Linked DNA regions of Caenorhabditis elegans. The protein of the gene in region 4 interacts with the protein of the main gene of each other region in a pairwise test. Each region holds a gene or a part of one and is shown on either strand. Other genes may lie near its edges.

What was found.
Region 1: the proteins of gla-3 (region 4) and oma-2 interact in a two-hybrid assay, tested with the Caenorhabditis elegans proteins (one large-scale study listed by BioGRID).
Region 2: the proteins of gla-3 (region 4) and ets-4 interact in a two-hybrid assay, tested with the Caenorhabditis elegans proteins (one large-scale study listed by BioGRID).
Region 3: the proteins of gla-3 (region 4) and unc-42 interact in a two-hybrid assay, tested with the Caenorhabditis elegans proteins (one large-scale study listed by BioGRID).

What each region holds. Positions count from the first base shown.
Region 1 is NC_003283.11:8,026,270-8,032,247, reverse strand, and holds oma-2 (CCCH-type zinc finger protein oma-2), read right to left. Parts: upstream 2,810-5,978; 5' UTR 2,740-2,809; coding exon 2,702-2,739; intron 2,654-2,701; coding exon 2,498-2,653; intron 2,450-2,497; coding exon 2,228-2,449; intron 2,184-2,227; coding exon 2,036-2,183; intron 1,991-2,035; coding exon 1,774-1,990; intron 1,729-1,773; coding exon 1,328-1,728; 3' UTR 1,034-1,327; downstream 1-1,033. Other genes in the region: vars-1 (valine--tRNA ligase), read right to left, coding at 1-371, 417-538, 585-661, 704-792; F43H9.4 (Glycine N-acyltransferase-like protein), read right to left, coding at 3,531-3,693, 3,742-3,803, 3,851-3,959, 4,075-4,286, 4,343-4,484, 5,333-5,538. UniProt on the Caenorhabditis elegans protein: Zinc-finger RNA-binding protein that binds to 5'-UA[AU]-3' motifs in the 3'-UTR of maternal mRNAs to suppress translation in oocytes and embryos.
Region 2 is NC_003284.9:6,516,598-6,524,204, reverse strand, and holds ets-4 (Transcription factor ets-4), read right to left. Parts: upstream 5,270-7,607; 5' UTR 5,174-5,269; coding exon 5,158-5,173; intron 5,099-5,157; coding exon 5,027-5,098; intron 4,974-5,026; coding exon 4,825-4,973; intron 4,411-4,824; coding exon 4,327-4,410; intron 4,276-4,326; coding exon 4,236-4,275; intron 4,123-4,235; exon of another isoform or gene 3,914-4,122; intron 3,759-3,913; coding exon 3,612-3,758; intron 3,566-3,611; coding exon 3,374-3,565; intron 3,243-3,373; coding exon 3,157-3,242; intron 3,050-3,156; coding exon 2,974-3,049; intron 2,922-2,973; coding exon 2,820-2,921; intron 2,773-2,819; coding exon 2,413-2,772; intron 2,359-2,412; coding exon 2,291-2,358; 3' UTR 1,549-2,290; downstream 1-1,548. Other genes in the region: Homeobox protein ceh-60, read left to right, coding at 1,219-1,289, 1,342-1,422. UniProt on the Caenorhabditis elegans protein: Transcription factor which binds to 5'-GGAA/T-3' DNA consensus sequences. Both positively and negatively regulates the expression of target genes. Plays a role in the regulation of adult lifespan, which may in part be through modulation of daf-16 activity.
Region 3 is NC_003283.11:9,763,299-9,772,381, reverse strand, and holds unc-42 (Homeobox protein unc-42), read left to right. Parts: upstream 1-3,025; 5' UTR 3,026-3,112; coding exon 3,113-3,163; intron 3,164-3,216; exon of another isoform or gene 3,217-3,354; intron 3,355-4,032; coding exon 4,033-4,147; intron 4,148-4,629; exon of another isoform or gene 4,630-4,702; coding exon of another isoform or gene 4,703-4,715; intron 4,716-4,851; coding exon 4,852-4,939; intron 4,940-5,349; coding exon 5,350-5,530; intron 5,531-7,236; coding exon 7,237-7,293; intron 7,294-7,343; coding exon 7,344-7,519; intron 7,520-7,565; coding exon 7,566-7,737; 3' UTR 7,738-7,848; downstream 7,849-9,083. UniProt on the Caenorhabditis elegans protein: Probable transcription factor. Required for initial outgrowth and pathfinding of axon growth cones along the ventral nerve cord (VNC).
Region 4 is NC_003279.8:8,212,342-8,219,064, forward strand, and holds gla-3 (C3H1-type domain-containing protein), read left to right. Parts: upstream 1-2,356; coding exon 2,357-2,407; intron 2,408-2,452; coding exon 2,453-2,614; intron 2,615-2,688; coding exon of another isoform or gene 2,689-2,694; coding exon 2,695-2,787; intron 2,788-2,833; coding exon 2,834-3,169; intron 3,170-3,226; coding exon 3,227-3,347; intron 3,348-3,693; coding exon 3,694-4,046; intron 4,047-4,121; coding exon 4,122-4,197; intron 4,198-4,257; coding exon 4,258-4,716; intron 4,717-4,788; coding exon 4,789-5,037; intron 5,038-5,092; coding exon 5,093-5,232; downstream 5,233-6,723. Other genes in the region: T02E1.6 (uncharacterized protein), read left to right, coding at 1-27; Protein dhs-3, read right to left, coding at 85-181, 235-506, 720-815, 861-934, 1,725-1,842, 5,674-5,946.

The DNA.
Region 1 (5,978 bases), on a different chromosome or scaffold from region 4:
CCATCAGATGGAACATCAATTCGATTTACTTCTTGACTCGATAATGTAGATGATAGTGTTGGACACCAATGAACTAATCGTTTGCCACGTGTAATCAAATCTTCTTGCTCAAGAATGCAAAAAGCTTTTGTGACGGCTTCGGAAAATTTTGAATCGAGAGTATAATATGATTGAGTCCAGTCGAGAGAAGCTCCCATTCGAGTCAATTGCTGTCGAATTTCAGATGAGCATTTTTCACCCCACAAATGGCATTCTTTCACAAACTCTTCGCGTGTCATCTCAAGTCGTCGCTTTCCATTTTTTGCCAATATTTTTTCCACGACTACTTGTGTGGCGATTCCTGCGTGATCAAATCCAGGAATCCATTCGGCCTGAAAACATAAAAATAAGCATCTTAATTTTTCGTGAAATTTTACTTTATTTCCCTGATTTCTCTGGTGTCGACAAATAGCATCTTCCACTGCAACTGTTAGAGCATGTCCCAAATGCAGTTTACCAGTTACGTTTGGCGGGGGTAAAACCATACGAAATAGACTGCCTGAAAAATATTTTTTTGCCTAGAACTATTATCAAGGAAATCTGACCATTCTTTCGATAATTTGCAGCGGCAAACTCTGTTCTTTGTTCAAAATTTTGTGTTACCTCGTCGATGTTAAAGGAGCTGAAAAAATTAGTTATTTTATTTTCTTAGTTTATCGTTTACCTACTACTTTCACGTGTAATAATTGTCGGTGAGTAAGCACATTGCCTTCTTGAACGATGAAAAAGTGCTAATCGATTCAATTTACCCATTTATTTCACCTGAAACCACAAACAATAATTTAAAAGAAAGAATGCGCTCAATCTGTTGAAAAATTAACGCTCGTCTGGACGAAGCAAATGCGCCCTGTCGCGAAACTAATTGGAGGGAAGATTAAAAAATATTTTTTTGTCAAACGAAACATTTCAGAAATTATTTTGCAATTCTATAATTGAAAATCAGATATCTTCGTGAAAAAACGTTATTTCCAGATGGTCTTCAAAAACATTGATTGACATTCGATAAAGTTTATTGATTGTTAGTGTGGGGAGAGGATACGAGCAATTTATATTTGGAGGGAATTGAAAATACATGCAATGATATCCGATATAATAAAATGCAGCAAAATAATTCAAGTTTAGTTTCAGAGCCTGCGAGAGATGGGGGGAGCGAGCGTGCTTTCTATATGACAGGAACATTGAGCTTATTATATTTACAAATTGCGCGCGTTATTATAGTTAGTATGGGACATAAAAACGTATGGCAATTTGACAAAATGTATAAATAGATGGGGAAGGAGGTGGTTATTCACCACAATTCAAGGTGCTTGGCAATGTCCATGGCAAGTTGATCAAGTCCAGGAATTGGAAGAGTTGTCTCGTTTCCAATCATCGGATTGTTGATAGACTTCAGAAGAATAGACTGAGCAGACTCCGAGTTGGCTTGGCAGGCAGCATCTGCAGCAGCAGAAGCAGCTGTGAGTGGAGACGAATCACTATCTTGAGACGGAGTTGATCCAGAGGAAGAATATCCCGAAACTCCTCCCGGTGTTGATTGTTTTCCAAGCATAGAGTATTGCATGTTCCCGGCTGCTCCAATAAGCATAGACTCAAACGGACTGATTGGACGAGTTGCCATATTCAGACTATCCAATGCGAAGAAAGTTGATGGATCCAACGGCCAGCTTGATGGTGGGCGATTCCCGGCTTCTGTAAAATTATTTTGAATTAATCATCAATATTCAATTTTCATACCCTCAGTCTCAAGTGGCTTCTTCGATGGCAACTCGTATCGTGGTCCACGAATGCTAACTGGGGTTGGACCCAATGGCATATTTGCTGCTGGCTCATCTGGTGTGCATGGCCTTGCAAACATATCAAATTGTTGAGGGCCGGCTGTAGAACGACCTCCATTCATGATATGATGCTCCATTTGATCGCGAAGGTCGGCCAAAGCATGACGTTGCGAAACCTGTTGAAGATTTGATTAAAGTGGAAAATTAAAAAGTTATCTTACCTCGAACAATTTATCGGCTCGAATGTATGCATTTGGTCCATTGTCCGGATGAATGAAAAGACAGCGTTTTCCATATGGGCACAACCCAGTAGTAGTGTACTTATCGCAGAGCTTCGTCCGGTACTTATTGTTTTGACGTGCCTCGATCCTGTAAAATATGTTGTGTAATCTTAATTCAATGTTCAAACCAACAGAGATGGACGAAGCTCCTCTTCGCCGTGAGCAAAACGACAGTTCTCCGCGAAAGCACATGTCTTCGACTCCAACCAAGCCTGACATATGACAGTCTTGTACGATTCCGGTTTTTGCATTCGGTGACGGCGTCTTGGATCAGCATGATATTGCAGTGGGAGAATAGCTTCCTGTGGAAGATTTTGAAGAGCTCTCATTTGCATCGAATGAATATGCTCGTTTCTGAGAAGATAAAATTTAAGAAACAGTCCATTTATCCTATAGAATTACTCAGCAATCTCCTTGAGAAGCTGCTCCTTGACAGCCATCAGGTTAGCGGTCTCGGAAAGCAAATCGTCGATATGAGAAATCGGTTTTTGCTGTTCTTCCGGAACAGTCTCCATCATATCGGGATGCGATGGTTCAACACTCGACTCTGTACGAGCCCTTAAAAAAGAAAATTAAAATTGAGAAACTATGATAAAAGTGGCTCACTCATTATTCTGGATAACATTTTCCTTGAGCATATCCATTATTTCGTTAGTAGTGCAGGGGAAATGGGTGGTTAGTGATTAGGCGTGGGGTGCTCGGTTAATTGATTCCCTGAAATTTAAAGAAATTTTAAAAATGGTAAGATTCCGCGAGCAATGAATAACAACCGTCTAAAGAATGAAAGAAATAAGTTTTTAACGAGAAAAAACGAATGCGCCAAAACGGTATAAAATTATTGTTTTAAGCGACGTAATTCAGAAATAAGCTCTTTTAAAATTCAAATAAACGGGCCAAAATCCTTCTGAATGAAATAAATGAATGAACAGAACCAAATGTTGTTGAACAAAAGAAAACTGAAGAAAACCATCTCTGTCCCAAAATTTCGAAACAAAAAGTCAATGTTTGGCGGCAATGCGCGCTAAATAAGATCAAATAATTATTTTTTAATACTTAAGTTTAGAATTAAGTCTGAAATTTATGGTTGAATCAAAGTCAAAAAACTTGCAAGAAAATGTTGCCAATTTTCACCAATGACTACGGTCACACTCGTTTGAGATGTGCACTCCCCGCTGCTGCGCCTTTAAAGGTTACTGTAACTAATAATTTTTTTTTAGCAAGCATGGAAATTGTGTAATTGTCTGAAAAAGTAACTCATAAACAGCGAATAACTAGATTTTCTCGACTAAAAAATTTTCAACAACACTGTCTGACCAAAATCTAGCTGTAAAAGAACATTACTTTGCAAATATACTTGCTGGAAGGTATTCGAATTTTTATTCAATATTTACATGTATATTTGATTTATTGTAAGTTCATTGTATTCCTATTAAAATCACTTGTGCATTCCATAATTTGACGCCTGGGAATAAACATTTTGGTCGAAAACTAGCGGTGTTCCATTGGACTCAACAACATCCATCAACTTTGACTTTTTTGCTTTTTCCAAGAAGAAACTGTTTGTTGTGTCGATGAACTTGCATGGACGCATTCCATTTCTAAAATATTATCATTTTTCCACAGTCCTTTGTCAAAAAATCACTCACTCAATAGCCATTTTAGCAGCTCCAATCTCCAACTTCTCTCCAAGATTTTTACCACGATGCCCCTAAAAACAGATTTGAAAATATTCAATTTGAAAATAGTAAAACTCACATCAAAGACATGCAAATGAGCAAGTGCTCCGTGAGTTTCTGAAGAAATGAATCCAACAAGTTCGTCGCCTTTACGAACGCAGAGCGATGGGAACCGTCGAAGTTTTTCTCTGAAAAAAATTCCTATTTTTCCATGTAACTGTTGTTTTACGATTTCTCGATTTTGTGAGAAAATGATATAAATCTAGTACTGTTGGTTTTTAATTTCCTGATCCAAAAACTCACTCTACTAATTTTGCATTTGGTGTGATAGATGATCCTACAATCTTCATAACATCATTTGTTGATTCAGGTATATCAATTGAGTATCCATCAGGTAATGTTGTATCACCATAATTTCTATATTTGAAAATTTGACTTTCATTCATTGCAAAAAAGTGTGTTGATTTGTTTTGCACCTCTGCATTAATATTGTTTTTCTTCATGTACTTTTCAATCTAAAATCAAACGTTTCTTATCTATTAACCTTTGTTCTGTTTTCATTGTGTATTACCGCTTTAGTGTAACATTTCTCGGCTACAGTTGATGGAGCATTGGAGCCAGCAAACAATCCATTTGTTTTACAGAATTCATCAAAAACCGCCAGAAAGTCTTCTTCTCGAAACTTTCCATCGTGTGTCAGAATTTGACGGTCTCTGAAAAGGTGCGAAGGTCAATTTCGAATTGAAAAAAAGAGATAGCAAAAGGTGGGAAAAGGTCTTTAGTGATACTGAAAAATGTTTTTGAAAATGAAGAAAAACTGGTTTAGGAATGGATTGTCATGGAAATGTTTGATCTTATCAAATATTACGGTCGAATCGGAAAAACATGAGTGAAGATACGGAAAAATGTAGTCAGCCATGGACATTTAAAACGGAATTCACTTTTTTTTCAAAGTGAACAAAGTTTAGGGTCGCGTGTACCTACTTATAAAGTAATTGTCCCATGTATTGAAAGTTCATGTTTTTGTAGTTTGAAACGGGAGGAAATGGCAAAGTTGTTGGCAAGTCAAATACATTCTCTACATTGAAAATTTCAAGTTGCTTTCTAACCTTACTTATCTAGGTTTATGCGGGCATATATACAAACTTCGTACAGTAACTCGTTCGTTTTCGAAAATTTTTGGGTTTTGGTAAAAAGAATTTAAATTTTGTAGAAATTTTATATATCTACAGTATTCTTCTCCCTATTTTCCTCGAATTTTCAGTTTAAGTTGGTTAGCGGTACGTTAGAAACCAAGTAAACCAATACACATTCCGCAAAAAAAAAGTAACTCGTCTGAATATTTTAATTTGAAAAATAGTTTTTATCTAGGCAGGCGGTAAGCCTGTTTTATAGGCACCTATATTTGTATCAAAATAAATGGAACACATTTGAATTTGGATTACCTGTTCAGTTTTCTATACAAAAAAATTTAGAATTACCCTAATAAATTTACTAAACAGTCTGATCGAAATTTCTGAATCTGAACTGTATACGCACTACTTCACTTCAATAAACTAACCTTTCATACAGACTTGTCATATTTGCAAGCCAATAAGTAGTTCCATTAACATTTTTTGAAAATAAAGAAGTTTTTGTAGCTGGGAAAGTACCATTAATCTCAAATTGAATTGGATGATAAACGAATAATTGACGTGGTTTTCTGAAGTTCTCAACGACAGTCTTCAGAGCCTTTTGAGTTGTGTATGCTTTCATAGTAGATGCCATTGTGGTTGTTTAAGAGTTTACCCATCTTCTATTATTCTCTTTTTATACCTAGATCCCTGTCATACTGGCTCTTACAAAATGTCCTTATGTCGTTGCCAACACACCCATCGCTCCGCCCATTTCGAAGAGGACGTATTCTTACACGTGGGACACAGAGATAACTGCAAAATCGCACGTGTGCGGGAAAGATAGACATGGTATGGGAAGAGGAGGAAAATGAAAGATAGAAACCAATAACATGATAAAGAAAATCTTTCGAGGATGATGAAACCAAAAAAATTGGAAATTTAATGAAACAACATTGTTTTGAAACGATTAGGAATGAGTACGAAGTTTGATCTTGATTTGAATAGATGTATATTAAAAATAAAGTATTTATCATAAACTTTTTTAAAACATTGTTCTAAGTAACAATGTACATATTTGAAATTAGAGTACTG
Region 2 (7,607 bases), on a different chromosome or scaffold from region 4:
ACCAAGGTTTTGATTTTGATTTTGTTTTTTTTTGTTGGAAGTACTGCTCTTTTATAATAGTTAGAGTATTTATTGGAATGGGTGCTGTTATTTTGTTTTTATTGCAGGTTTGAACTCAAATATTGTTTTTTTAATTTGTGTTCTACAAAAAACTAGATCAGGAACTTTATTGAAAAAAGTTTTAGAATACCTCGAAGACATTTAAAAAGTGTCAAGCAAACACATTGTTTGTGCTTAATCGAATTCAGAAAAAAAAACACTAGAATTAGGATGTATTGAAAAACGGAAGATTGTTAAAATTCCAAAATTGAACAAAAAATTAGAGTGGAAAAAAAGAGTGGATAAATAACTTCAAAAGTTATATTTGCAAGTTTGCTCAATCCGTTTGAAGACGCATAAATCAGAATCCTAATAAAGTTTTAAAGTTTTTTTTTTTCGAAAATATCTAGTCTAAGTTTTGCCAATACAGCAAATTTATGAAACATTTGGTTTCACTTTCGAAAGATTTAAATATTTTTATAATTTTAATCCAAAACACAAAGGAGAGCGGTGTCATTTAATTTTTCTCTATTTTAATGTGTTGAAGTTCCAATAATATTTCAATTAGTAGATTTTAATTGTGTCAAATTTTTATTATTGACAAGCTGAAATAATTTTAGAAAAAAGTAAAATAATTTTAAATCTAGGAAAAGTCCACATTAATTGTTTGAAAACAAATTTTAAACACTTGTTTGTAAATGGTACTTACACGAGCAAAAATTTAATTTGAATTGAAAACGGAAAACTTCCCATTTTCAAACTTAAACATAAAAATAATCAGTCTTAAAATTTTAAAAATTATATATTCTAGAAATCTTCCTTTTACTGAATACTAAAAATTCATCATATATCAATTTTAGAAAAAAAAACCATATTTATTATTTTTATCGTTTTGTGAGATGACGTTTTAAAATCTAATTGGTGATTTCAAAAAAACTTTCACATCGAGAAGGTTATTTTAAAATGTCGATATATTTGATGTGTTGGCATTTTTTTTTGATAAATGTAATTATTTTCAGGTTTTTCTACGTGAAAATTTCAAATTTACATTCATATGTGTCTTATAGTTTCCGCAAGTATCAATCAATTTCAGTTGATGATTTTTGTGTTTTGCATTGCGATTCCCATGTAACCGCAAACAAGCCATCCGTGGTCACCGCTTATCTTTGCTCTTTTCAGCGTTTCTCCATCAGCCACACTATTTTACTGCCGGAGGACAAATGTCACTCAATGATAATGGAAATGGACAGGTAGCTCAGCAAAAAAAGTATTGACGTAATGACCCTTCGTTCTCTGTTTCAGCAATTCTTCACAGATTATGAGACCTTTGGACTTGCACAATCGGATACAGAGTCGTTCAATCAAATGGGATATCTAGGATGATCTACTTTGATTGAGAAATTAAATGTTGAATTCGAAATTCGTTGTGTTTCATAATTCATCTTTTCAAAGCTTTCCTTCATTTTCATGTTTATCTTTAGTTTTGCTAAAAGCCAAGTTTTATATTTTGAAAAAATATTTATCTGGTTCATTAATATATAATACAATCTGAATAAATAATTGCACAATGATATAAAAAAACACTGGGACTACACATTGTTGTAATACAATTTCTTTGGGGGATAACTAGGCTAGTAAACAGGGGAAGGAGGCTGGAGTATAAATGGAATGTAAAATTAAAACATTTTTTTGATACAATATTATAATTGTTATAATTAACATAATCATATTGGTATAAATACAATCGGGAACAGTTCAGTAAAACGCTTATTTTTCTGTCACTGGTGGATATATGAGCCGTTATTTGGTAAAGTATTTGGGAGAGAGGAAGAGTTCTGACATGAGAACGAGAATAAATAGAGAACAACATATTGCACGGTTTCAAACCGGTAAATATTGCATTACAATAAATAAATCGAGTGAAACAATATTCAGACATCTGAACTACACACTCTAAATGGTAATAACATTTGTAATACTTTTTGATTGTTCCCAACAATTGAAAAAGAATGAGAAAAAAAAAGAAAATAAAGAAGTTGAATAAAACCTTGAATGATTGACTCGGGTATTAAAAAGAAGTATGGGACACAATAGGAATATGTTCTACAACGAACAGTACATGGAAGTATATCTTGAATCACAGATATCGGGAAATGGGACCACACTGGACCGACAGGACAAGTTGAAAAATGTAAACAGAGTATTGACACATACACAGATAGCAACACGTCGTTGTCTTTCTGCCAGATGACTACAAGTTATAAGGAGGCAGGAATTTGTACACCAAACGCTGCTTCTTTTCCGGCTTTTGGATGATTCCTGGAATATTGATTTGTAACGTTTTTGTTTTACACTTCCTCCTATTCTTTTTACCTTTCTTATAGTACTGTCGAAGACTTCTGGACAACTTGTCATAATTCATCTGTGAACGGTTTTTTCGTTGTCCCCAATATCTAGCCAGCAGGAGGGAAGACTCGATTTTAAAAGTTCCCTCATCTCTATCCACCCATCGAACACATGCACTGTACTGTTTTGGTTGATCCAAAAGCTCACGAATAAACTGCCACAGATGAACAGTTCCTTGATGACGAGTGTAGGCACGCTCATCGTCATCTCCCTCGCTTCCGTTGCACATTGCGTCAATAGGGGAGTTCATGTAACCCTGGTTGTGAAAGAAGTTTGAGAAACCACAGTTCGAATTGTTCATGTGAAGATCAATATCATCGTCATTCACTAAAAAACTCTGAATTAGTTACAGTACTAATAAGCCCGTGTCATACTGTCTTGACTGCTCCCATTGCTGCTGGTATCGCTGTTGCTTGGCGATGGCAAAACAGTTCCCTGTTGAAAGAAGCTGCTCATCGACATGTTTGGATACCCTCCTATAAATACAATTTACTTATTCACATCAAACGCTTCCGGTTCGAAACCAACCGTTTCCATTGAAAAATGGATGATTCGGGTTCTCAGCAGCTGCCATGTTGTTTGTTTGATTGTTGGTGCTGGCTAGCTAAAAATACGAGAAGGCTTTATGAAAAAAACGCATTGAGCAAATAGGGGTACAAAAAGACTGCGCGCCGAAAATTCTGAGGAATGACATAATCAACATTTACATACCCAATTAGTTTTTGACTGCATGTTATTTTCGGCAGCGGTCATTCCGGAGCTCTGAACGGTCACGGGTGGATGATAGTTTTCAAATGCTGAAATTGAATTGGATTGGTGTCTCGTTTTCGTGTGAGCATGTCACTGATAACCGTCATGATGACAATCAGAAAAAGGGCGTGATTTATAGTCATGCTAATCGCATCACCTTTCACGTAATCTGACGTACCGGTCTTCCACACTTGGAGTTGGGCATGCAACGTGTCGCCTCCCGCCGGCAAAATCATTTCGAAATCTTTTTGACTCATGCCGAGCAAATCAATACCAGTGATTGAACAGTTTCTAGGCGGCTGAAGATTGAATTGCATGCACATCTCGTTGATCCATCGTGCTCCATGCTCGGATGACCACAGGTAGAAATCTAGAGACCAAAAATATAAATGAGGTATTGTGGATAAGTAATGTACCATTTGGAAGTCCCAATTTGGCACAAGTTGTACTGATGTCTTGAATCAGATGACGGAGAATCAGGTCCCTGTAGATGTCAATTTGCTGGGTGTCAAGACCGTTGTCTTGCGCAATCTCCGGATTGACATTGAAATTGAGAATGTTTTCTGGAACTTTTTCGTGGTAAACATTCAAACAACAAGCATTGATGCATATCCATGTATCACCCGCACTTTTCTAACCCTGACACATTTCCATATCTTCCTAATATCTAAGCCCTTTTCTTTTTTACTTTGTAATGGGTCACAACTTTGTTTTCTATTGTGGTTAGCCAAAGCAGCTTAAAAAAACATGACCCCGACCCACAACTAATTCGGTAGCCGCTTGGAAAACTTTCACTGGTCAATCCAGGCGTGCCGTCAGCCAGAGAAAAAGCTGACCTGTGCCTAACTACCCTAATCGAAGGAAAACGTGTTTTCTCAATAGTATCTCCCGCCAAACGAAATGAGATGTTTTTCGATGAAGGGATAGTGAAAGTCCGAAAGGGAGAAGAAGGCGTTAAAAGAACCCGAGATTATGATTGACACCATTCAAAACAGTCGTTAATGGTGTTTGTATGTATCTAATCCATCTAAAGTACCAACCTTCAATCTCATTCTTCACAAACGTGCTGTGATCGGCGTCCTGCAAATTATAATAATACAGAGGGGTCAGTGTGATAATCAGTAAAACTACCTTTGAGAATCGACGGTTATACTCGATGGGTTGGATTGGAAGATTGCATGGCATATCCATCGGATGTGGTTTGACGTTGTTTACCTAAAATAGTTGTACATTGTGATTGTTTCCAACGTGATTAAAATGCAAAAAAAGTCACTCAAAAAATTATTTCTCTATTTTCTCCATCAATCGGGTCTTATCAATTATCGCATCTATGACGTAAATAGCACGCACGTGTCTTACTGTGAAAGAAAATGAATATGAGAACAAATAAAGTAAACTAAATTTCAAAATAGCAAAAAATTATTGAAGCTAACTTGCGTTTAAAAAAACATTGATGATTCAACTGATTGATAAAAATGAGTAAGGTGTGTTTGTTACTCTCATTTTCCCAAAAACGTTCTTATTTCAAACTTCAATTTTGGTAATCATAACCAGTTTTCAGAGCAGGCATAAAATAATTAACGCAACCACACCCACATGGTCTCAAAAAAGAAGAAGACAAAAACTTACCTGGTCGATTCCGAATAGATCATCATCAAATGGGAACTCGCTTTTAACAAAAGGAGTGCTTGCGGTTGACTCCGTTCCGGAATGTGGCTCCGGGCTCAGAGAATTCCATCTGTGACCGACTGAGCCAGTACCGTTCATTGATGAAGAATCTAGAGTGACAAAATACTATTGGAAATATTATAATTCCAACCGTCAGACTTACAACTTCCGTACTTGTATTCCAAGTTGTTGAACGGGAACGCGAATTGGTTCAAACCATGAAATTGGGTCTCGCCTGGAAATTAGAAGATTTATCTTTCAAATAAACACTATGATGAGAGAGGGTATACGTACAATAAGCAGCAGTCATATTGAACAGTACAAGTGAGATAGTAATAAAAGTTAGTACTGAAGATGGTAGGTTAAGTCGAGACCGAAGAGTAGTGTCGACCTGTTTGTGCACTAGAGTAGTAACGAATAAAGTGGCACTGTTAATCAGTCAAATTTTATTTTATCGCTAATTTTCGCTATTCCCAACCCCTTTTTTTGCTTCGACTCGGAAAAGTTATCAGCAGAGCGTCAAGCGATTTCTGGCGCGCGTGAGGTTGACTAGTGTGACACTCCTAATCATTGCCTCGCTCAGTGTCACATGAAACCAAGCTTTTCCAGAAATAAGCTGATAAGTAACAAAATGAAATTGATGGCGCCAATGGAAAACTGAATTGAAAACTCGATGATCTATTACACGAAATATGTTTGTTGGAGAGTTAGCATTGATTGCGTCAATTAGGGGGCAAAAGCCCATTTTTATCAGTGAATCATGTTGCACACCAATTCAATATTGAATTGAAAACTGATCTAATTGCTGACAAAATACTGAAACGTCATTAAATAAAACGTGAGAAGAGTTTGAAAAAATTTGTGGTTGAAAAGACGATATCAAATACATATTCGCAAGACATCGACTAAAAAACTAAAAAAAGATCAATCACTGAGCCGATCGAATATAATAAAATAATAAATAAAATGTACTGAGCTTGAACAAAAGTGTGGGGGTGGGGGGGGGGGGGGGGAAGGGTTCTAAAATTGATGAGTCAGGTTGGTCGTGTCAGACACGATGGGACCTCTTTCAATGGTGCAAACTACGCCGCGCCATCCCCCCATAATTCAATGCAAATGAACAAACCTTTTCTTATTCATACTACATAAGGAGTACAGGTAAAGAAGAAAAAAGAATGTGCATTGTGCACAATTTTTTTCATTATAAAGAGTTAGGATGTCATGAAAATTGGAAACAGGTTTATTGCTAGAAATTGGGAATGCACGTCATTGAATAAACAAGCTACAACGTGGCGGACCAGAAACATGGGTGAATCTATAAATTGAAAAATAATGACACGGTTGAAATGTTTTGAAATGTGTTTCAAGTCTATACTAAGTAGTGGACTCTAAGGTAATAAGTTTTAATAACTAACAAGCTATCTTGACGAATGAAAATCCTAAGAATCAATCGGTATGAAAGTGCACACAATTCTCTCTGGAATTGTGATGATGCGTGGGTCGATTTTTGCTCCTATTTTTTTTTTGATTTCATTGTCCATTAACGTTCCCTGGAGTCAAAACACATTTAGCTGGCTGATGTTGCAAAGAAATTATGACGCACTGTCTGATTTTGTTTGTCGCCTTATAAACTTGCAAAAAAATTACGTATTTGATAATATTCTGATATGCTCAACTTTTGCATTTCAGTGCCACAGTTTAAGCCATTGATAAGTCTAAAATTCTCGTGATTGATTACGATTTGCATCATAAATCACTAAATCATGTAACCCGTGTTTATCGCTGGAAAAAAGAAAACATTTAAAAAAAGTGAAATTTGAAGCAGCGAACTAAACTGCTGATAAAAAAGCGCACTCAGCAATTTTTTGTGAGCTGCCTATCAAGAAACAAAAGGGAAATGAAAACTTAAAATCATTGTGAGAATTATTGTTTTTTTTTCACATGCGTTGTATCTCCACAATGACAAAAATACCCTGCTGTCGCGAGAATTATTTGACTTGGTGTTTTGTGCTTTTCGTCAAAAATGAGGCAGCGGCAATTCGCAGAGGTCCAGAGCGCCTGAAGTCGTTTTGCAAACATCCAAGTGACCGGCTACCGTACGGCACCAGTGAAGGCTCTCTGTCTGCCAAGCCGAGCGAGCAACAAACAAAACAACTGGCTCAGCTCCTCGGAGCACTCTCACCTTGCGCCACAAGCACCCCCATCTCCCGTCCGATATATATTTTCACACTGTTTGACCGGTGGCCCAATACTTAAACAATGTCATATCGAGGCGGACAGTGGCTCCGATTCTTTGCAATTCGAGGACTGTGAAGGATTTTTGATTGGCAATTTTAAATAGTGTTGGGAGAATAAACAAATAGAGAGATAATCAAAAGTATCGGTATATATGAGAAGAGTCTGCCAATGATTGAAAATATTTTTAGGGCAATAATGATAAAGGGAAATAGCCTTGGAAAAAATTTATTGCCTTCAAGTATCTTCTCAAAAACAGGTCATGATGAAATTTGTTAAAAAAATGGATTTGAACTCGTAAAAATTTTGAGCATACATTAGATTAAACTGATCAAACTAATACAACAAACTTCAACAATACAAATCACTGTTAAAAGTAACAAAAAAAGTTCGATGGCAATGCCATAAAGTATAAAATATAAACGAATTTCGAGTATTTCGAGAGCATTTTTGACATTGAATGCTTGTTGCTCAGTGTCGTCGAAGACTCATGGAGCCCCCTCCCTGTA
Region 3 (9,083 bases), on a different chromosome or scaffold from region 4:
ATGAAGGAAAGCAGTCGCAAAAAACCAAGAATTGACAAAACTATGGAGGACTAACGAGATGAAAGTCTTCGATGAACGGAGGGAGTTGTCGTCGGAAAAAAGAAAGAGTAGGAGCAAAAGGGAAAAGGGATGACACGATGAGATGACAGCAAAATCTGCAAAAGTGAGGAGACAGAAAGCTTGTAGGAGCAAGAGGAAGCTCCAATTTTTTCCGAGGGAAATAGAAATCAAATCAACGAATTGTGAGGGAGTCATGATGATGATGATGATTATGATGGTTTTGGGAAGAAACATGGGAGCATCTTCTTCTGGTTTTTGGTTTCCAGAATATGATCTTGAGGGCGAGTGCATTAAACTTTCGGGGTCCAACAGTGAAAATTCATATTACCGTTGTTAATATTAGTCTTGAACTCCAACTGCTCCAGCCCATATATTGATTAACTTTGGTTTGATCCAAGTGATCAACTTTGAAAATTGATAAAATTAAAAGCCAGGATCAAAGTCATCCTTTTTATAGACCTGGACGCAACCGTACCATAATCTTCCAATTGGGTAAATGGAATGAAACAGTGAATAAATCTGCTAAAATTCTACAAAGAAATGTCTGCTTTCAAAAATAAATTAATGGATCCACTTACTCACAAATGACTTCTACAGTCTAATTTTTTTTAAGTTTGAAAATTTAATTTCAAACTATACTGTTGTACTTCTCATTGCTAGATAATTTTTCCGCTTTTTGCCATTTGATAATAATATTTTGATGAAAAAAACATACGCTATCTTGAATATGGTTACTTTCAAAAACAACTGGCCGTATGTGTTCTACTCAAAAGTTTCTCTAAATTTAATAGATCATTTCGGTAATTACAATTTGTTTTATGAGGTTATAATGATTAGTATCATTCAATAAATATACTTGAGCATGATGAGAGGAGAAGTGCCAAAGGCTTGGGCACAATCCGTCGTTATACCACTAGGGAAAACTACTAAACCTAAAGACTCAAAAGACTTTCGTCCTGTTAGCCTCACGTCAAATATCTGTCGAGTATATGAGCGATGCTTACTGAAAAAAATAGAACCGTATCTTAGAGAAATCAATTTTTGGAATGAGAACCAGCATGGGTTCAGACCTACAAAATCAACGATCTCTAATCTGATGAATAGTTTGAATGACTGGACAAGCAACCTAGATCTGGGAGCCCAAATTGACGTCATATTTAGATTACAGCAAGGCATTTGACAGAATTCCCCACGACATTCTCCTCAATAAACTGATACGCCTGGGACTGAATAAACATATCATAGTCTGGATCAATAGTTTTCTAATAGAAAGGACATTTAGAGTTAAAATAGGAAATACACTATCTACTGTAAAAAACGCTAAATGTGGGGTTCCGCAAGGCGCTGTACTCTCACCAGTTCTTTTTGGAATTTACGTTAATGAGATCCCAACAATACTGCCCGCAAATGTTAAAGTGCAGCAGTTTGCAGATGACACCAAGCTGTATGTACACACGCCAAAAGGCGACCAGATTAATAGTCTGCAAGAAGCAATAGACAGAGTAGCAAATTGGTCCGTCAGTAACAAATTGGCTCTTAATGAACAAAAAAACCGTCCATCTCACGATAGGGAAAAAACGCCAAAATTTCACTTATAAGATAAACGGCCAGGATATCAAAAAAGAGTCAACGACACGTGACTTAGGTTTTATGATCTCTCATAATCTGGATTTTAGTGAACACTGGAAAAAGGCTATTAATTCCTCGAAATTTCAAATGTCACAAATTTTTAACCATTATAACAGTAACAAACCAAAGCTGATGATCCTATTATATAAAACATTTATTGTGCTTTTGCTAGAGTACGGAACCGTTATAAGTAGCCCACCAAAGCAGTCAGATATAGGAGCCATCGAGGCAGTTCAAAATTCGTTCACAAGGCGTCTATATAGTAGGACTGTAGGCAAATACGTCTCAATAAGTGATCCGGAATATAAAACCTCGACAGAAAGAAATGAATTATTTGGGCTCACACCGCTGCAAGGACGACGTCTGACAACCGATAAAAAAATGATTTTGAAAATGTTAAACGGTAAAATAGATCTGAAAGTACCTGAATTTTTTACCTTCTCGGACAACACTAGAACGCGTTGTAAAAGAAAGTTCTCTTGGAGCAGATGTAAATTTAAAATTAGGAAACATTTCTTCGTTAACAGAACATTAAGCCAACCGTCATTCCTCAAATTTTTATCTAATTTAAACAAGGATAACTAAGTTAGGAAACGAACGACATCTACTCTTGATCAATAACATTCATTCATTACTATCCTATGATATCTCCTGTTTTTTTATCCTACTCCTTCTCATGCTCTTTTTCTACGCCTCAGGTTCTTTCACTTTGCCCATAATCTCCCAGTCCACCCTCCGACATGAATCTTTGTATGTATCATCTTTTTTCTTTTCACGCTTCTTCAAGAACGTAATAAATTATTATTATTGTTATTATTAAATGACTACAAACATTCTGATTACATTTCCCTTTTTTTAAACATATCGCAGCATTTCTACGTTTAAATAATTCAATTAATTATTTTTAGCGTAACTGAGTATTTTAGTTTAACCACAAATTAAATCCCCTTTCAAATCGAACCCACAATTTTTCCAACCCAATTTGGATTTAGTCCGTGTGTTCGTGTGGGGTTCGCCAGTTGAACTGCTTCTCTAATTGCGATTATCGCCACCCGGCTTCAGAGTCCGTCCAAACTCGATTATAGCTTTCGCTCTCCACCGATCACTGAATTCGTTGCCGTTAAGTGTAGAAGCTCAGTTGAAGAATAAGAAGACGGAAAGAAGAAGCTGTCAAATAATCTAATTTACTTGACTCTCTCAAACCAATCCAAATCAAAAAGAAGGCGTGGCTACCTAGCTCTTCTGGCGGAAAGATGGGTACGGTGGTTGGGGCCGGTGGTGAAGGAGGAGGAGCAGCCGGAGGCGGACGGCGACCAGTCAGCTGCCCCTCTCTTCAGAAGCAACCCTGTCCGCCTCCACGACGACGTCGACAACGACTTCGGTCACCCCTCACTTTCCACATTTCTCCGCTTTCACTCACACAATGAGCGACAATCTGCTGAACGGTGCGAACGGAGCATCAACTGTCTCACAGGTAATTTGCTAACTAATTCTAGTCTCCGAGGCCCTCGACGCAAACGAAATAAACAGTAATACGATTTGGTGGCGCCGTCGGTCGTCGCCGAGAGCTCCATAATTAACTTTTCTGGCGCGCACAATATTCTTCGTCTCCTGAAGACGTTGTCGTTTTTCGGAAGACGACTGGGAGGAGTCCAAGTGTGTGTGTGTCTTCCCCTCATAAATTCATTATGGAAATTTGATTGTTAGATGCTCTCACGATCAGTGGCACACACACACACAAACCTCCTCAGTTGTCTTCCGGAGCTGGTATCGATAGCCTTCCAACTTTTCTCGCCTCCAATTTCCCTAGAATTATTGTTCAGCTCGCCATTTTAATTGATGTTAAAATCAAAATCACAGACTACCGTACCATGGACATCAATAATTTAATTCACAAGAAATAACTTTAGACATGGGTTTGAAAAAACTAAAAGTCCCACCACAAACACCGCTAAAGATCTGATCTTGGTGTGTTCAATCCTAAAGAAGCTAATGTTGGACGGGGTTCTAGATAATGATCATACAATACCTCGACACTGATGTCTGATTTTTTAGTCACAAAAAAGTTAAAAAACCAACTGTATTAGTTTATATTAGTTTGTAAGTGGAACCGAACATTTTGAAAAATAGATCTTAAGCCGGTAGAATCTCTGCTGAAAAACTGTTAAGTCACTGAATTTTTATTAGTCTTCTTGGCGTTATGTTTTACTTTAAAGTTCTAGTGTTACTGTGGATTTCCTTATTACCGTCCTTCCATTAATCGATTCCAACAGATTCCTCAATTCACCTTACATTAGTATAAAAACGTTCTACTGGAACCTACATCATGATCTATATTTTCAGTTCCAAGAAAAAGTGAAAGATCTTGGAGTATCTCTTCACGATTTCACTGCCTACTATCCGAGCTCTTTGGATACAGTCTCGGCAAGTCTTCGTCCAATTTCGGATCCATCATCAGGTTAGTCTCTACATTCCATCTTCTTTTTTTCTACACTGGTAGGGAGGAGCTTCGCTTTAGCAAGGCGAACAAAATTACATCAGAATATATCAGATTTGCGGAATCATATTTGATGTCTCTCCTTCGTCGTCCGCATGCCAGTTCATTCCTTGCATCAGTGCCTTCTAGGTTGAGCAAAAGGTCCTTCTGACCCTGAGCTTCTCTTATTATTTCGTTTGATATTCTCACCTATCCCAAGATTCAGCAAAAACCACTTCAAGTGTTTTCTTTATTAGTGTTGCGCAATAGCTTCCGCCAAAGGTATCATGCTGTGTTAGTACAACTGATACCCTTACCATGTCCCCCCGCCTTGCTCTTCCCCTCCTCAATGGTACTTCACATCTCTGGAGCATGTGCCACCGAGCCAATTATGACGCCTGTTGCCAGATGCTCACTCTTATCCATCCGTTCTATTGTATCCACTAGTCTTGACTTTGTGCGCGAAGTGTCTCTCTTCTTATTTACTATTTTAGTACTTGTGTGAGCAGATTTAGGAATTAACAACTCAATCTAACAATGTATTATTATGGTAAGACAATGTAGAGAAGGGTGTCATATTTCTTTGATTATTCCTTGCAATTCACACTAAGAATTTCGAAATTCTGCATTCCTCCGAACATCTGCCCACTTTCCATTTTTAAGCCTTAAAACTGGTGATGTTGCAGATGGCGCCTTCAAAAAGATTAAAACCGAAGGACTCGGTGGCTCGGTATTTGGATCTTCGATTGCTGGGGTCACGAACACGCCTGCAAGGTGAGTATTCTTAATATTTTGGAAGATAGGGGTACGGTAGATGTAGAAGGGATTTGATGTATGTAGGTATTCAATGTCAAAATAAGGCAGTTATCTAGATTTCATTTATTGAAACTACTCCAAAAACCCAGTTTTTTAAAAGTAAATTTGGCTATTTACCAAACCCTTGACAAAATATGTTTGCGTTTATTATTTTTTTGGCCACTATTTGGCCAAATTTAAAAATTTAGAAAGCCAAATATAATTATACAACTTGAAAGAGCCAAAATTTGACTTGTGCCGCCTATATTTTCATATCTTCAATTTCTATCAATAGTCAAGTTAATTTTCAACAAACTCTACCGTACTTCTCACGTATTTTCTTGCCTTCCCCCACCCACCTAGTGCTCCACGGCCTTTCTTAATTGCAGGCTGTGTAGCCTAGAACGGCCCGAATCAGAGCGTCTCAATTCCAGGCGGAGACATCGGACGACATTCACTCAGGAACAACTTCAGGAGCTTGATGCTGCATTCCAAAAGAGTCACTATCCGGATATCTACGTTCGAGAGGAATTGGCAAGGATCACCAAGTTGAATGAAGCTCGAATACAGGTGAGCTTCGAAATTAAACTGTATGCTCAATTTGTGAGACATGTGCTCTAATTTGTTGTTTCTTTCTCTTCTTCATATTCTTTATCTTCTTCCTCACTTCTTATTGGTATTCATCTCGCGTTAATTGCTGCCTTTGGATAGTTGTCTACCACCTCCTGGTCACCTACTGTGCGCTAAATCCACCACGCACCATCACACATCTGGTAGGGATTAGATATTGAGCTTGTGAAGCTGAGAAGAACAAATTGAGACAAAAAAGTCAATCTGCCATAATAGGGAACTTATACAACTTTTAAAATTAAAAATTAACATAGATGTACAGAAATAATATATAATTGATTAAAAACCATCTTGAAAAGTTTGATGAAGGAATTTCTTTGAAGTATCCGTTTGTAGAGAAAAGAATGCACACATATTTGGTAAACGACAATGTTCAGCCGGTAATAGTTTTTTGGATTGTTCAACTAAATTGAATATAATTTTCGAATTAATCTGATTTTTTTCTGCGTTTCGAGCTTTATTTCTTAGTGCTGAAAAGATGGGTTATCGTTCCTAAATTGACGGTTTTGTGGAATTACCAATAATGTTTTCAGCACATCTTTGACTTCAAATAAGCTTCTATTTTTTGGTGATTAAGCTTTCAGTTCTGACTGTTTTCTTTGCGATCTACTGATGTAAGTTATCTTTTGCTATTTATAAAGTTCTCTGAACTTTTTTCTATTTATAGAGTTCTCTGAACTTTCTAATAAAACAAATAAAACTTTGCCTAGATTCAATGATACATGCTTAAAACTTCTCACCCTTTCTGATTTTTTTCATTGTCTACCTACTTCCATATCCGTCATACGGTATCCTTTTTTTTTAAATATTCATAATAATAATAATAACAACTCAAAACTAGTGCCTTTGAATCTCTAAAACTCTTGTTCAAAAGAAACTCTCTATCACCAGTCTACCGTAACCCATCGTCTTCTTCTCTTCCAACATCGGCGTCTTTGTTAGGAGGCAAGCAAATTGAATTATGCTCTGCCTTTGCCGCTTTCTCAATATCCTTCCTCACCACAGCTTTTCCCTTATTCTTGAGCAGTCTATCAACATTTAGAAATACAGAAAAAGGAAATGAAGGGACTTGATAAAAAGAAAAGAGAGTGTAGCGAGGAACAGAAAAGGAAAGGAAGGATTAAAGATCCGGAGACAGTAATACTTTATGACGTGACTTTTAAAAACTTTCTTTGGTTGGATTGTGTGGGTATTAAGATACTTTTGAACTTTGTAGAATCTGAAATAAATACTCCAATTATTTGTTTACATACAATCTTGTAGAATTTGGTTGTCGTATATACCCAACAGTATACATTATTTTAATACTAAATTGCGTTTTTAATTAATTACTAAATTGCGCCAAAATCACATTTATTCATTTTTCCCTGATAATTTTAAATACAATGTTTAACGTAGAATTATAAATTTAAATACATTTCTGACTCCAATTCGTAAAATTAAAAAAACAATGACACACTAATGTATTACTAGATATCTTGTTTCTAGATGTAAGGATTTCAGGATTACTGTAGCGTATTCACACTTCCTTTACTTATTGCGTAACAGTTTTGCCACCTGGCTGTCTCTACTCCATCCCTCTAGATCTGACTTGATCATACTCATACTCCCCACTAATTTCTCGAGTAATCCAATTTTGTTTGCAGGTGTGGTTCCAAAATCGGCGAGCAAAACATCGGAAGCATGAAAAACAATTGAATAAGGTAGGAAGATGACGAATATATTCTGAATTCATCAAAAAAGTTATTTACAGGCAATCAATCCCCCGCACTCATTCCTATCCAATCCAGCGAATACTTTGATGCGACAAGGAATGTACCCAGCTGCATTGAATCGTGACGGTTTTTGGTATCAATCATATCAACGACCAATGCCATACCCAACAGCTTCTCCTTCATATTCCAACTCGTTCACTAATCCCATTGCAAAGTTTGTTCGTCTTTTTACTGTGGGATAAATATTTCGTTAATTTCAGTTTCGGTCATTCCATCACCTCTTTCCAAGCTGACGACGAGTTCTACCAGAAAAGTTTGGCACTTCGAATGACGACGACACCATCGGCCGCTACAGCTGCTACCTCACTTGCTAATATTAACTACCAGCAGACACAACCATCTGAAGCTAGTACCAACCCTCCTTCAATCTAGTCATTAACATTACAACCAGACATTTCTAATCTCCAAAGTTAACAGAAAATCCAATAATTTATGATTGCGTGTGAAATCAATTGAACAAATAATAAAGAGATCTCACTGATAGACTAATGTTGGTACGTACATTTACAAAAAGACAACGGTTTCCAATAAAAATGTTGAGAAATATCACAAAGGAGTGGGAAGTCTACGAAATGGAATGTTTAACGCGACTGATGATAAATACAATCTTACAAAACTTATCTGCCTTCTTCCTGTATTAAATATCCGGATCCTTTCCCGTTCCGCGTGTCACAAAATCACTTCTATTTGGTTTTGTCTTGTTAGAGAAATTTTGAGTAAACACCAAAAAAAAATGATTTTCGTATTTTATGTGGTTACCAGCCGCTGACCGCGCCTACGGCGCGGCCAACTCGTTCTCAGCACACTGCATTCAGTAGCGTACTCGTTCTCAGCACACTGCATTCAGTAGTTCTGGTATTGTTATCACAAAACATAATAAATAAAAATGACATGAACCGCCCATTTTAAAAGGAATTTTTTTGTTTCCATTAGGGAACAAGATAAATTCTTAATAGAATTTGGTGGCGGTGAATCGTTGTGGACAATCTTAGTCGTGATTCTATGAATGATCTTAAATCAAAACTTCCTTCCATGAAATTTTTTGCAAAATCGAATTAAAGTTAAGTAAGTTAAGTAGAAATAACTGTTCTATCTTATTATCTGAATGCTTATTCTATGTGGTTTTGTCTTGTAGGAGAAATTTTGTGTAAAACACAAAAAAACGTTTTCGTCTTTCATGTCGCTTTTTTGCACAGTGCAGAAGGTGCTGGTACAATTTTTTGATACGGTAGCTATATGTCTGGAATTGTTAAAATGTTAAGTTTTTGCAGTTTGATCAAAATGACTGCAAGCAAAGTTATAGTAATTTAAAAATTAGACCTGAAAAATCTTGACATTTCGAAAAATGTATGTTAAACATGTTTAACGTTAGTATTTTTGTTAGATTTTTGGCATCATTATTTAAATTTTTACGTAGATTTTATTTTTCGAAAGATTTTATTAAATATTTCCCTGGAAACATATGAAAAAGACAACAATTTGTGAACTTTGTGAATTTTGGAAGAAAAATTTAAGAAAACATTTCGTTTTTCGTTCAAAAATCCAAAACGTTTCACAATTTTTATTTTCTTGACCAGTTTTTTGTTAAATTTTCAATTTGATGCTCTAATTGTTATTATTAATGCTATGATAAATAGGGAAAAAAGATTTAGCTCAATACGATAATTATGAGCACCGTTGCGGAAGTTTTGAGCTTCCAGCTCTTCGCAAAAAACGAA
Region 4 (6,723 bases):
TTTTTCTCACTACGCCCTCAAGGATGATCTCTAGTTCATTATCAAATAAATATTTTAAAAATGAAAAAAATAACACAACAAAATTTAAGCCTGGCGTGACTGGCGTCCCTTGAAATGATCCATAGAATGAGTGATTCCAAAATGATCCCCGTATAAGTTGAGAACTTCAGTTGGAAGAAGTCTGAAAAATCATAAGTACGTTTAACATAAATCTGAAATTCAATAGGAACTTACCCTGCAAGTGCAATAAAAATGTAGCTAAACTTTGGAATTGCAAGGAATGCTCTGTCGGTGAGAACTGCCTCCATTATGCAATCGACAACATATTCTGGTGAAAGAATTGGAAGAAGTGTTGGCCATTTTGTGGCAATTCCATCGAACATTCCAGTATTTATATAAATTGGGCAGACTACAGTAGTCTTCACATCCTTTTTTAATGCGTACAACTCAGACGCAAGAGAGTCATTAAAACCAACAGCTCCGTGTTTGGATGCACAGTAATCTACCTGAAAGCTTTTTAATTTTAAATGTCTTTATTTGCAGAATATTTGGCCTCCCAACGAAACGTATGAAACACCATGTAATCTAAAAAAACAATGTAGGCACAGGGATGCCTACGTACCTATCTACACACAAGTTTTTTTCGACCTTTTGTGTAGACTAACTTAAACCCTTTAACTTTTCGTGGCGCGGTCAACATTTTGTTTTAAATCACTTACCAATCCAGCAACACCACACTTTCCAGCCATTGAAGCAATTGTTACAATATGCCCTTTATTCGACTCGAGCATGCCGGGAAGGAAATTTTTGGTAGTCTGGAAAATTTCGGTATTCTCTTTTCAACAAAAGTCATATCTTACAAAGAACAAAGCATTTGTGTTAACTGAAACAGTCTTGACCATCAGCTCATCTGGACATTGCAGCAACTTTTTTCCTTGAAATGTTTTTATGAAAAGATATTATGGGAATACTAATTTCTGAGAATGCGTATTGCGCAACATATCAGACGCGCAAAATATCTCGTAGCGAAAACTACAGTAATTCTTCAAATTACTACTGTAATTTTTGTGTGAAGTAACAATGGGTTCACTGAACCTTTTCGAAAGTCTTATCATTTTATTTATTTTATTGATTTTTGTTTTCTCTCTTTATCTGGCATATTTCGCTTAAAATGAAAAATATGTAATACGCTAAACTTCGTATGTTTCTAAATCTCTACAGTATGCAATTAGCAAGGGATGTGCTTTTTTGCCAGTGGGTCCCGCCGCGCCATTCAAATTCATTTAATTAATACCATGTGTATTGCGACTCTTCATTGTGTCTTCGAGACCCGAAGAACTCGGGGGATGTCCAATTGGGGGGATTACCAACTCGGGGATTGGCCCCGCCCACAGAACCGTGGCTTGCAATACGCCCATTTCTGCAACTGCCGCACGGTTTCGAAACTGTATTTTTCTCAATAGAGCGAGATTTAACAAGAAAAATACAGTTTCAAAACCGTGCGGCAGTTGCAGAAATGGGCGTATTGCAAGCCACGGTTCTGTGGGCGGGGCCAATCCCCGAGTTGGTAATCCCCCCAATTGGACATCCCCCGAGTTCTTCGGGTCTCGTGTCTTCTACAGGAAAAAATTAACTCTATAAGGAACAAAATTATTATTTACTGTGTTTTTGTATTGTACATGAATTTTTCAGAAGTTTGGATGTTTTCAGCCGACTGTACTTACCCGTCACAATTCCAGCGTTGTTCACGAGAATATCTACTTTCCCTACTTCACTTTTAACCAAATCGGCGGTTCTATTGATTTCTTTGTATTCCGATAGGTCCACTGTGTATGCTTTAGCCTGAAAGATATAGAAATGAAACAGTATACAAATCGCAGAGACGCAGAGAAACGCACAACGACACTCCGAAATGACGATCGCGCGTTGTTTAGCGTGTCATTTGAATTTGTACTTTTTCTCATTTGCTTACCTAAATTTATTCAACTTCTCTTTGTTTCCCATTTTTGAGTAAAATATTTTTAAAAAAGCCATTTTCAGATTCTAAATCGTATTTTTCTGTAAATAGATGAGTAGCTCTGCGTCAAAAACTCAGGAAATAAGGTATATTCTTCGTATGAATAACTAATTGCTAAAAACAAAATTTTCAGCGTCGTCATAGATCCCCGTGATGCGCTTACAAACAGCACCAACGGCAATAAACCAAACGGCCCAAAACCGAAAGTAAGATCAGAAAAGCGGTAGTTCGTGAGAAACTAGAGCAGAAGGGGGTAGAGGAAAAAACTAAAGCTAAAAAAATAACTAGAAATTAGTGTTTAATAAAACATTTTATTTTCTCCATCCTACTCACCCAACCATGCTTTATCAACCATCTTTGTTAAAAAGTCGACTTACTCCTGCTCCGCCGGTAATTTTCGGAAAAAGTGTATTTTTGGTTTATAATAAAATTCAGGGGTTTTCTTTTCAACCTCAGCCTCTATTGAACTCAGATATGGATCCAGTCAGAAATTTAGAAAGTCTAGGGAACTACACGGTGTATCAAGATTCTTCTCAATGTTTTTGGCAACATCAAAATTTTACCTCCAATCGAGAGCATAACCCCGCATTAAGGAAGGTTCTATTTTTGGAAAAACGTTTTAATTTCTTAACACTTCAATATTTTAATTAAGATCTACTCATTCCTTGTAGTTTCAGACAAAGATTTGCGATCACTGGCGACGCTCGGGCAGCTGTTCGTATGGCGACGCGTGCTGGTATGCTCACGGTGAAGACGATCTTCGTAAAGTGGTCAGTTAAGCAGCGTAGGAAACATCAAAGAAATCTGGTTTTTCAGGTCCGGATTGATCGTTCGAACGAAGAAGAGAATGAGCGACCGGCTACTGCTGAAATTCAAAAGTCGCCGACAAAGCGTGCATCAACCAACGTCAAAGGATTAACAGTGAATATTCCATCGAATACTGCCTTCAAAGAACAAAACTCTTCGATGCCGTTATCTCCAGCTCAGGAAAGATGGATTTCCATGTCAATTGGAGCTGTACCACCACCAACCAGCTCAGCTGCAGAGAAGGATGCGATTTCATCATTATCTAAAAACGGTGTCGAGCAAGAACAGGAAAAGAAGCATGAAATATGTTCTCGTGACGATGATATTGACGATTACGGATTTTTGGTTAGTTTTGTAACTTCAAGAATAACTTTCGGTTGAAACTGAACAACTTGTTTTCAGTCTCCGAATCCGTTCCCATACCCGCAACAGTCAATGTTCTCAGCTGGATTTCCATCTCATGGACACCATCAACGTTCCTCGAATCGTGCTACGCAAGGGGTTCCTTCTCAACAATTTGGAGGTATAGAGATTTCACGAGGTTTTCTCGAATTTAATGAAATGAGTCTCAGCCCGCTGAAATTTTTATGGTAGTCTTTTTGAATTGTTGCGGCTGATTTCTCGTTTTCTTGAATTTTTCAAAACAATGACTTAGTTTTTATCAATCTTTATCGTTTTCTATTCATTTTTTTTGCTAAAATTAGTTTAAATCAGTTTTTGGAGTATAAATTAAAAAAGACTATCATAAACTTTTTATACGTCGAGACCCTGAATGAATCCGTGCGCCTTCAAGAAAACATGTCAAATTCTAGTGAAATTACGACAAGTTTTTCTTCAGAGATTTTTTAAATCAAAATTCATTGTTACAGGGCCAGTCAACATCCCTGGTCAAGATCCGAATCGTTTGGGATCTGGAGCATACCATATCCCACCACAGCACCAAAGATCAAGATCCAATGTTCGTACTTCACGAGAGGTCGGCGGTCCCCCTCCGCAATTTCAACAAGCGATTTGGAATGTTGCTGGTGAAATCTATCAACGTCAGAAGGACATAGAGATAGGCGGACAGAGAGTTGGACCCAATGATCGTCAACCGACTCAACAGAAAAATTCGGAAATGGATCGACTTTTGTCTAAACTGAAAATGAAAGATTTGAACTACCTTCGTTTTATGATAGAGCGAGGATATATCAACGAGCGTGACGTGTCTAGGCAAACTTCGGTGAGTGGTGTCTCAGGTTTTTCTTTTTTCACAATTTCTTTTAGATTTAAAAAAATTCAAACAATTTTTGTTCAGAGTGATCAAATGAGTAATGGTCATCACTTCAATGCTCCTATGACCCCACCATACCATCCACGACTTGCAGGAAACGGTAAGATTGAAATCAACCAAATAAATAGGAAAATTGATCGAACTATTGCATACATTTTAGAACCAAATACTTCGGACTGTCATTACCATGGAACTGGAAATCGTTTATCAAATTTCATGCCAGGACGTCATCGTCCCCCACATCAACATCCAATCCATCATCATCATCAGTCACAACATCAGCTACACCAGCATCAGCAATATCTGCATCATGCTGCTCAGCAATACCGTTATTCGCATCAACAGGGACCTCAACATCCGTTTGCGGCTCTTCTCTCACCACCGGAGATCTCGGAGTCCTTGCTCCCACCTGATGACTCGTTTTCGATTTGGCTCGAGCCGAAGCCGAAAAAACAGTCCGGAGCCATGACACGAACTCGCGGAGCTGCGACGATCAACGAATCGAGTTCTGCGGCAAGTCTGCTCACAAAAATGGATGCTCTTCGATCAGACAAGTATCCAATTACAGACGAGGAAATGATGATGGCTAATGATTTTGTGAGACAAGGCGATCGAGATGGTATGTTTATTGGTTAATTTACTCGAAAAATTTCTATAAAAATTTATAGTTCTGAATATCCATCAATTTCAGATAAACTAAGCTCCAGCGAAAGCTCAAGTCCTGTCGTGATGTCTTTGATGGAACTATTGAGCAACGAGAATCTGCTCGATCAAGTAGCAACCGAAAAACCAAAGTGTTCTATGTTCGATTTTGATACTCTAAAAATCGCCGAAACTCTCAAGGAGCCACTGCAATCTTCCGAATGTTCAACTACAACATCAAGCAAGATGACCTGCTCTCCAATGTTCTTTTTCGTAGATGAAAAGACACCAAACTACGGTAAAATTTTTTTTAGTATTTGAGTAGAACCTCCAATATATCGGCTATTTTTTAGACGGCTCAGGATCGAAAAGCCTTTTCACTCCGTCATCATCGGCCGGCCAGACGCCTTCATTCCTGGAACCTTGCGATTTTTTTGCAGCCACCGGATCGTGCCCCTTCGGTGACGCCTGTCATCAGAGTCACTCGATTTAGGAGGACCAGCGATGATTTTAAAGCCCATTATTGTAATCATTTTCTCATTTCTCACCCAATTCAGTTTCTAAATTTTATACTTTATCATTTTGTCCTTTTTCATCGTAATTTTTGTTCTACTCGCAGCTCTTCTTTAGTTTTTTGTATGTATTTAGGGTTTCTTGTAGAGGATATGGATACTTCCAGCTTTTTCCCACCCACATAATCTTGTTTTCCTCAAGTGATACGGATACCATCCACAAAAGTACGATATTCATAATTTAAATTTTGTATTTTTCTTCACTTTTTGTTCCATTTACACTTGTTTTCATTATTTCTAACGAGCCCGCGCCGCTCTTGACACTAGCTTTGTAATAGTAATAGTTAGCTGTAGTTGTAGTAAGTTTTAGCGAACATTCATCTAATAAATCTATAAATGTGAAAAATGTTGCAAGTCCAAACCTCAACTCCCATCGCTTCCAATTCTTTGAGTGTTTCTTTGTTTCCTTGCTCGTTTATATCCCATAACACTAATCTTGCACCGAGTTTTCCGAACTCGAAGGCCATCAATCGGCCTAATCCACTTCCGGAGCCAGTGATCAGCACAGTTTGTCCTGAAACTTTTAATATTATTTCCTTGTGTACGTGATCCGATACCTCGAACGTCTTTTCGTAGTAGCCATCCCATTGGGAAGCAATTTCTAATTGTGGAGATAATAAGAAGACATATGGCATGTAGAGTCACCACAACACTTTCTAGAATATCCTGCATCTACAAAATCGGAAAATTGAGGGAATTTTTAAACCAAAAATTAAAACGTATTGGTTTTCTTGAAAAGTTTCTGGAAAAAAGCTAGAATACAAAAAAAAAGAATCAAGATTGAGAAATCATATAATGAAGAGTTTTTGTTGACTGTACACGCTTTTTCTCTTATCATTCAACATTTTATCAGTGAATAGACCATGTTCTGTAAACATTTTGATAAGAGATGGAGAAATAGTGTTGGAAATGAAGAGAATTAGATAGAAGGTAGAGTGGAGCCGAGAATACAGAATTTTGAAGTTTTTGATTCATAGTTTTGGTCGAAGAAATGCACTGAAAAAAAGTAAATTATTACCCATACGCGCAATGTTGCGATTTTTGAGCCAAAAATACGGTAACCGGTCTCGAGACGCCTTTTCAAATGTAAAATACAAATGTTTGTGCTCCTTTAGAGGGAACTGTAGTTTCAAACTTTCGTGTTTTTGCAGAATTGTCATTGATTTTTCATAATTTTTCGATTAAAAAAATTTATTTATTTAAAAAGTAACAAAACAAAAAAAGCAGGACTGAAAATCCATTGGCAACGAAATTTTCAAATTACAGTACTCTTTAAAGGCGCACACCTTTTCGCATTTAACAGGAATGGGTCGTGTCGAGACCCGGTACCGTACATTTGGAGAATAAATCACAAAATTGATTGAATCGGTAATAACTTTTTTAAACAAAAAAATGAAGTTCGATTTAAAAAA